2 linked regions of the Macaca mulatta genome follow. The protein of the gene in region 2 purifies or fractionates together with the protein of the main gene of each other region. This does not show direct contact. Links are inferred from orthologs where the notes say so. Each region holds a gene or a part of one and is shown on either strand. Other genes may lie near its edges. The genes, in order: FTL and NCOA4.

Region 1 (3,818 bases), on a different chromosome or scaffold from region 2:
ATTATCCTGCCTCAACCTCCTGACTAGCTGGGATTACAGGCATGCACCACCACACCCAGCTAATTTTGTATTTTTAGTAGAGGCGGGGTTTCTCCATGTTGGTCAGGCTGGTCTCGAACTCCTGACATCAGCTGATCGGCCCACCTGGCCTCATAATCACTCATTAAATAGTGCTGTTTCTGGCTGAAACCGAACAGATCTGTGTCCAGGTACCAACCTAGGTCTTAATTCAACTCCCTGGAGGCTATCTCTACCATCTGGGAGGGACAGTTAACAGCCAGGCAAGCAGAGAACCCTCAAGTTCAACACTACCCAGATAGCTTCTTGTCTTAGAAGAGATAAGAAAATGGGAGATGGGGCCAACTCCTCTTTCACTGGCATCCCCAACCCAGCCAGAAGCTTTATGAGAACAGATCCCACCTCATCTTCCATACCACACACAAAACCACCAACTGCATCAAAAAGCTTTATTTCCATTTGGTCCAAGGCTTGTTAGGGTCGTTAAGAAAGCTGCCTAGTGGCTGGAGGGAGAGGCTTAGGCAGAAGCCCTATTATTTTGCAAGGGGCCCTTCAGAAGTCGCTGGGCTCAGAAAGCTCTTAGTCGTGCTTGAGAGTGAGCCTTTCGAAGAGATACTCGCCCAGCCCAGCCTCCGGGCCGGCCAGCCTGTTGAGGTTGGTCAGGTGGTCACCCATCTTTTTGATGAGCTTCACTTCCTCATCTAGGAAGTGAGTCTCCAGGAAGTCACAGAGCTGAGAGAGAAGAGGGAGAAATTAGAAACCCGATCCCTGCCGGGCGCGGTGGCTCAAGCCTGTAATCCCAGCACTTTGGGAGGCCGAGACGGGCGGATCACGAGGTCAGGAGATCGAGACCATCCTGGCTAACATGGTGAAACCCCGTCTCTACTTAAAAAAAAAAAATACAAAAAACTAGCTGGGCGAGGTGGCGGGTGCCTGTAGTCCCAGCTACTTGGGAGGCTGAGGCAGGAGAATGGCGTGAACCTGGGAGGCGGAGCTTGCAGTGAGTCGAGATCCGGCCACTGCACTCCAGCCTGGGCGACAGAGTGAGACTCCGTCTCAAAAAAAAAAAAAGGAAACCCGATCCCTGGAAAAGAGGGAGAAAGAGCTGCCAGTTGCAGATTAAAATATGACAGGTGTTAAATGAGGCTCTGAAGGGAATTTGCCCAAAGAGAGCAAAGGCTTGAGGGGTATGGTTGGGTAGCCATGGATGCAGGGGGTACGTACATGGGGATCCGTGTGGGCAGAACCCAGGGCATGAAGATCCAAAAGGGCCTGATTCAGTTTTTTCTCCAGGGCCATGGCGGCTTTCATGGCATCCGGGGTTTTACCCCACTCATCTTCAGCTGGCTTCTATACAGAAGGGAGAAACGGCTTCAGAATACACACACTCGGCACATGGAACTAAACCTACATTTCCCAAGAATTGGTGGGGGTCAGAGGCCCAGGCCACAAAGACATGTGACAGCTTGTATTTATCACTCTCCGCACCCCGTCCTAGCTCTTACAGCTACACGTCCTTAAGTCTACGCAGCAGTGTGGACTGCCGCGTCCTGGGGGCACTGCACGACGTGCGCCTCTATTTCCAGCCGTAAAAGGGCTCACAAGACCGAACTCAATCTCCCCGAAGCCCACGCGACATCTAAGCCCTCAAATCAAGGCTCCTCGCGCGCACGGCCTGCTGGGAGATGTAGTCCGTTACCCTACCCACACACTAGTTACCTTGACGTCCTGAAAAAGAGCGCGGCCGCCACGCTGGTTTTGCATCTTCAGGAGACGCTCGTAGCCCTCGCGCTTCTCCTCGGCCAATTCGCGGAAGAAGTGGCTCACGCCTTCCAGAGCCACATCATCGCGGTCGAAATAGAAGCCCTAAGGAAAGAGATGGAGGGAACAACGCTTAGCGGGAGGCGAGGCCAAGGGGGACTCCGCCCTCTGTTTACTCGACCGGACAAAGAAGGCCGGCGCCTGCGCTGAGGGCCGAACGTGCGCAGCTGGGGGAAATTAGGGCCAGGGGCGTCCTGGGGACTCACCAGAGAGAGGTAGGTGTAGGAGGCCTGCAGGTACATATTGACCAGGCTGTTGACGGCTGCCTCCACGTCGGTGGAATAATTCTGACGAATCTGGGAGCTCATGGTTGGTCGGCAAGACGGAGCTAACCACAAAAACGGTGCTGGCAGGTCCCAGAAGCAGGAGATGGCCGAGAAGATGGTCCCGGAGGTTGCAAGTGGAGAGGAAATCGGAGGGCGCTCGGAGGCTGGAAGAAAGAGTCCCCGGATCTGTTCCGTCCAAACACTGTTGAAGCAAGAGACAGACCCGCGGGACCGCCGAACTGCGAGGGGACGTGGCTAGGGCGGCTTCTTTTATAGTGCGCTGGCCCTCGGAGGCGGGGCGCTCGGAGCGGGCTATCGGCCAATCTGCGGTGGCAGGAGGCGGGGCCGAAGGCCGTGCCTGACCAATCCGGAGCACACAGGAGTCTCAGCCCCCGCCCCAAAGCAGGGGGAAGTCACGCGCCTGCAGCGCGAGTGTGTTGTGAAATGGGGGCTTGCGGGGGTTGGGGCCCTGGGGCCGATTCGAGGAATGGAGGGTTTCGTGGGCGGGGGGGTGGGGGCTGGGGTTCCTCTGGGAGGCTATAGTTTTATGGGAGCATTGAGAGTCCTGTGAACTGATGACCCTGGGGTCCTGGGGGTGCCTCGGGAAAGTAAGTCAGATTGTGGGGTTTCGGAGGGCATGGATTTTTCTGGAACCTTGAGTGGGGGAGGGGCAACTCAGAGGTGCGGGGAGGACCTGTAGTTGCCTGAGGTTTGTGCTGCGAGATAAGGAGTCTCCGGATCCTTGGGAAGCTTGGAAGGCAGTGAGGTGGTATTTCTGGACCCCTGGGGATCTCTGGGAGACAGAGGGGTGCGAGGACTGGAGTCCTGGGCTTTACAGAGGTGGGAGTTCACGATGCAAACTCTATATTTTGGAGCCCTCCCCGGGGAGATCTTTAGGTCCTTGAGGTGCTCTGCAAGTTGGAAAGGGCAGTTGTTCTGGAGCCGTGGGGTTCCCCAGTGCGGGAAGCCCAGGAGGAGCATTGTATGAGGTAGGGTGACTTCTGGAACCCTGGACAGCCCTCGGAAACCCTCCAAAGACTGGCTGGGACTTTGGGGATACCTTGGAGCTCTTTTAAGGGCCCAGTCGTTTTCTGGGAGTGGAAATGGGGAGGAATGAAATGTCTGTTTCGAGCTTTGCGGTGTCTCTGGGACTGCGTGTCCTGGGGGCTGTTTTGGAGGCAACTCACAGACTCCGAGAATTCTCCTTGGCCCTGAAAACAGTGTCTCCGCAGTTGCCGTCGTGTCTTGCCTGACGTGTGCTCTTTCAGGCCCACAAAGAGAAGCCCTGCGTTGTGGACACACAGTCTGGGGACCTATGGACGAGACGTCTGTCTACAACTAATGCGTATTTTTTTTTTTTTTTTTTTTGAGACAGAGTCTGGCTCTGTTGCCCAGGCTGGAGTGCAGTGGCCGGATCTCAGCTCACTGCAAGCCCCGCCTTCCAGGTTCACGCCATTCTCCTGTCTCAGCCTCCCGAGTAGCTGGGACTACAGGCGCCCGCCACCTCGCCCGGCTAATTTTTTTTTGTATTTTAGTAGAGACGGGGTTTCACCGTGTTTGCCAGGATGGTCTCGATCTCCTGACCTCGTGATCCGCCCGTCTCGGCCTCCCAAAGTGCTGGGATTACAGGCTTGAGCCACCGCGCCCGGCCTCTCTAATGCGTATTTTTTAAGCGGACCTGGTCCATGTTGATTTCTGGGAGACGGAGTCGGC
Region 2 (4,400 bases):
TTTTCTGAGGCTAGGTATACTTTGTTGGAAAGATCTGATGACTAGTATATGTAAAGCACTTAAAATAGTGCCTGATGCACGTAAGAGCTATATAAGTATTAGCTATTTTTATTACTTTTTGTCAAAGAACAGGATATAACAAAGACAGACATAAAGTTCATCAATTTCATTACCATCATCTCTCTCTAGGACTCCTGCAGAAACCTCATGACTGCTACCTACTCTTCCCCTCTACCCCTACTCTTCTCCTCCTGCTGCTCCTTTAGCATAACAAGGATGCTTCTTCCTCAGAGCCCTTGCACTTTCCTCCAGGTATCAAGCCCAGGCCTTAACTTCCTCCAGGTGTCTGCTCAGAGGTCATCTTCTCAGTGAGGCCATTCCTCACCATCTTTTATTTTTAAAAGTCTTGCCTCCACTCCCCCTCAATATGCTTTATCACTGTCCATAGTACTAACCACAATCTGGCACGTAGCAACCATTTATTTTCTGATCTCCCTTCAGAAAACGTACTATAAGGTAAGTTCCACATGGCGGGGACTTGTCTTTTTGTTCACTGTTGTATAGTAGGTATTCAATAATTAATTACTGAGTAAATAAATTCAGTAAGTATTTACATCTAGTCTACTATGTGCCAAGCCTTTTTTTAAAAACTCATTATCTCAATTAGCACTCACAAACCATTAAAGGGGCTATTATCATCACAATTAAAAAAAAAAAAAAAGCAGACTTGACAAGGTTAAATATATTACCTACAGTCACAAACTTCCAAGTAGAAGAGCCAAGATTTAATCCCAGATCTGAGTCCAAAGTCCCTAACCATACCGAGTATGTTGAAGGAATCATTAAGTATTAAGGTATTATGTATTCATCCAACAACTATTTATGGAGTACCTCAACTGCCACTACTGTGATAGTCCCTGAGAACACAATGGTGAACTTGCCACCTAGAGGAGAACTCGTGTCACCGATTTGCCAACAAAGCAGAAAATACTAATTCTTTGAAATAAGAGACAGAGTTCAAAGTCCATCAGCAGCAGCAATGACTGGCACTGAATGCTAACACTATGTGAGGGAAAGTATTATAAAACACTAACTTAGGGACTCTCAAACCGGGGGAGGGATATGTGTCAGGATATACTATGGAGTTTTATGAAACCCCTACACGGGCTCCTGAGATTCTGGCACAGCTATGCTGATTTAATAAAAACAGGGGTCAGGGGTATCATGTAGTTCTAAAATACCTTCTCCGCCTTTGAGAAGGACATCTTCCTTTCCTTCAATAGCTCAACGTGTTTTTTCTATTTCCGAAATGCCTGTTTGCACAAAGGTAATAATGTGATTGTAGAGATTTATTTAGATAAAAAGTATCACAAAACTTTCCAAGAGTAGGATTTTCCTCAGAGACCCAAGGACAAAGGCTCCCTGGAAGGGAGGGAAGGAGAAAGTGAAAGGAATGTTATTGTGCTGGACCCCCCATTATCTCATTTACTTATCTGAACAAATCTGCAAGCTAGCAAATCTTCAAATGAGAAAACCAAGTAAATTGCCTAAGCCACAAGGCAGCAAATGAATCTCCCTCCATTGCATCATTAGGGTAAGCCTTTCTCAAACGGTCTCATGTACTTTAAAGTCTGGAAATGTCACAGTAGGATCTCAGTACAGAAATGGGCCAACTATGACTTCCTGTGCCATCCTCATTCCAATAAGTAACTCAAGAGTCTCTGTAAACTTAGTTCCAAATTACCAAGTGCGTGGTGGAAAGCTAAGTCCATCCAAAAGGCAGTTACTATGGTGAACCCGACCCTGATTAGATAGACACAAAAAGGCACAGTTAAAAGGAAAAAAGCTCTGCCTGTGGGTTCAGATAAATTCTAGCACTCTGACTTCTGTCATTCTACTTCTGCCATTCTTGATGGCATCATTCCACATTAAATCCCGTGCCACGTAAGCTTATGATTATTGTTGTTCCCAACACGAGAATTTAGTTCCATGAGAATTAGGAGTGTGTCCATTTTCTTCATTGCTATCCTCAACATCCTGAACATACAGGCACCAAATAAATGATTGTTGGTGGATGAACCAATGAATGAGCAAGCCTCACTCTTCTCATCTGTAAAACAGAGATAATCAAGCTACTTTTCGGGATTATTGGGAGAACTAAATGTGACGGTATGTGTTTAGCACACAGAGGGCCAAAAAAAAAAAAACAAAAACAAAAAAAAACCCCAATATCTTATTTGTATTTCCACCTGACAAGCTAGAAATGGATTGTGTTCTGGGCTGGTTCGGCAAAACAGACCTTGCCACGCCCCAGATCCAGGCAAGAGGCGAGAGAAATAGGAAACTTGGAGCTGTCACACCTAAAGCCAGGGGAAGGCCGGCGGGGAGCAGGAGGTTTCTGGGCCGGGAATGAGGAGGGTCGGGGAGGAAAAGGCAGGCCCGGAGCCCGGCGTGTAGCGGGAAGGGGAGAAGGCAGGCCCGGGCCCGGCGTGTGGAGGGAAGGGGAGAAGGCAGGCCGGGACCGGCGGGCAGGCAGGAAGAGGTGCCTGGGCCTGGCGTGTGGAGGGAAGGGGAGGAGAAGGCAGGCCGGGCCCGGTGTCGGTCAGGTCGGGAAGGGGACGGACAAGCCCGGGGCCAGCGATCATCCAGCCTCCACCCGGCCCACGGCGTTCTTACCAGGTCCGAGTGCCTCTCCGCGCGATCCGAGGAGACCTTGGGTGGACTGAGACACGGCCCCACACTAACCTAGGTCCCAAAAGGCAGAGTTCTCGCGACAACGCAATCTTCCTCTCACGCCTCTTGCCAGAGGTCTGAAAGTCTCGCGAGATCTCCCCTTGGGTCAGGCAGAAGCCCTTGACTGCCCTCTAGAAGGCGCAAAGCGCAGGCGCACACTTTCTCCCAGCCCCCTTGACTGCCCTCTAGAAGGCGCAGAGCGCAGGCGCACACTTTCTCCCAGCCCTTGCACAACGTCCTTTAGCCCTTCGTGAATAAATCGAAATTAAATGAAGCAAATATTTTTTGAAGGCAAGTTTTGTGCCGAGGACCATTCTAAGTGATTCAAATGCCCTCACAAGGTAGATATTATTTAACTTGAACGTTCAGATGCAAAAATGAATATCATAAGACACAAAAGGCCATATGTTGTATGATTCCACCTTTGCAACATTTGTTTTTCTAAAGTAAATAGGCCGGGCGCGGTGGCTCATGCCTATAATCCCAGCACGTTGGGAACCCGAGGCGGGCGAATCACGAGGTCGGAAGATAGAGACCATCCTGACTCACACGGCGAAACTCCTTCTCTACTAAAAATACAAAAAAATTAGCCGGGCGTGGTGGCGCGCGCGTGTAGTCCCTGCTGCTCGGGAGGCTGAGGCGGAATTGCTTGAACTCGGAAGGGGGAGATTGCAGTGAGCCGAGATCGCGCCACTACACTGCCTGGGCGACAGAGCAACGCTGGGTCTCAAAAAAAAAAAAAAAAAAGAAAAGAAAAGAAAAAAATGGGCCGGGCGCGGTGGCTCAAGCCTGTAATCCCAGCACTTTGGGAGGCCGAGACGGTCGGATCACGAAGTCAGGAGATCGAGACCATCCTGGCTAACATGGTGAAACCCCATCTCCACTAAAAAATACAAAAAACCAGCCCGGGCGACAAAAAAAAAAAAAAAAAAAAAAAAAAAAAATACATTGAGTAAATAAATAAATGTCAGAACCCAGATTCTTTATTTCTTTTCTTTTTTCTTTGAGACAGGGTCTGACGCTGTCGCCCAGGCTGGAGTGCAGTGGTGCAATCTCGGCTCGCTGCAGCTTCTGCCTCCTGGGTTCAAGCGATTCTCCTGCCTCAACTTGCTGAGTAGCTGGGATTACCAACGTGCACCATGATGCCTGGTTTAAAATTTTTTTTTTTGTAGAGACAGGGTATTGCTGTGTTACCAGACTGTGTTACCAGACTGAGTTACTCGAACTCCTAGGCACAAGCGATCCTCCCACGTCACCTGGGATTACAAGCATAAGCCACCACGTCCAGTTTACAGCCCGGATAATAACCCACATTATTTACTTGTGACCAGATGTTAAAATAGCACTTCTTTCTGCCTCAGTTTTGACAGAGGTCCTCCATACTCAGTTGCCAACTGCTTCCCCACATTCCTCAGCAAAGGAGATGTTCATAGCAGGGTTTTATGGATCTCACCCAAGAGTGACTCCTACAAGGGGCAAGGCAACCTCATTAGAAAACAACAGGAGACACAGATTCTGATGCAGAAGCTAAGATAACAGCCATAGGCTGTGAGTGGAAGGAGAGCTGTGGAAAGAGAGGCCCACAAAAGTCCCATGAAAAGTCAGCCTAGAACATTACCTCAGGCAGAAGGAGCCCTTAACTCTCCTGTCCCCCATTGCCTCTCAAT

Evidence for each region.
Region 1: the proteins of NCOA4 (region 2) and FTL purify together in Homo sapiens (co-immunoprecipitation; 3 studies listed by BioGRID and IntAct, counting the BioPlex papers as one, with this or other methods). This does not show direct contact. The link is inferred for Macaca mulatta from reciprocal best matches to the Homo sapiens genes NCOA4 and FTL.

Annotation. Positions count from the first base shown.
Region 1 is NC_133424.1:61,421,323-61,425,140, reverse strand, and holds FTL (ferritin light chain), read right to left. Parts: upstream 2,349-3,818; 5' UTR 2,148-2,348; coding exon 2,046-2,147; intron 1,885-2,045; coding exon 1,738-1,884; intron 1,369-1,737; coding exon 1,243-1,368; intron 751-1,242; coding exon 598-750; 3' UTR 572-597; downstream 1-571.
Region 2 is NC_133414.1:59,166,216-59,170,615, reverse strand, and holds the start of NCOA4 (nuclear receptor coactivator 4), read right to left. Parts: upstream 2,813-4,400; 5' UTR 2,677-2,812; intron 1,314-2,676; exon of another isoform or gene 1,242-1,313; intron 1-1,241. UniProt on the Homo sapiens protein: Cargo receptor for the autophagic turnover of the iron-binding ferritin complex, playing a central role in iron homeostasis. Acts as an adapter for delivery of ferritin to lysosomes and autophagic degradation of ferritin, a process named ferritinophagy.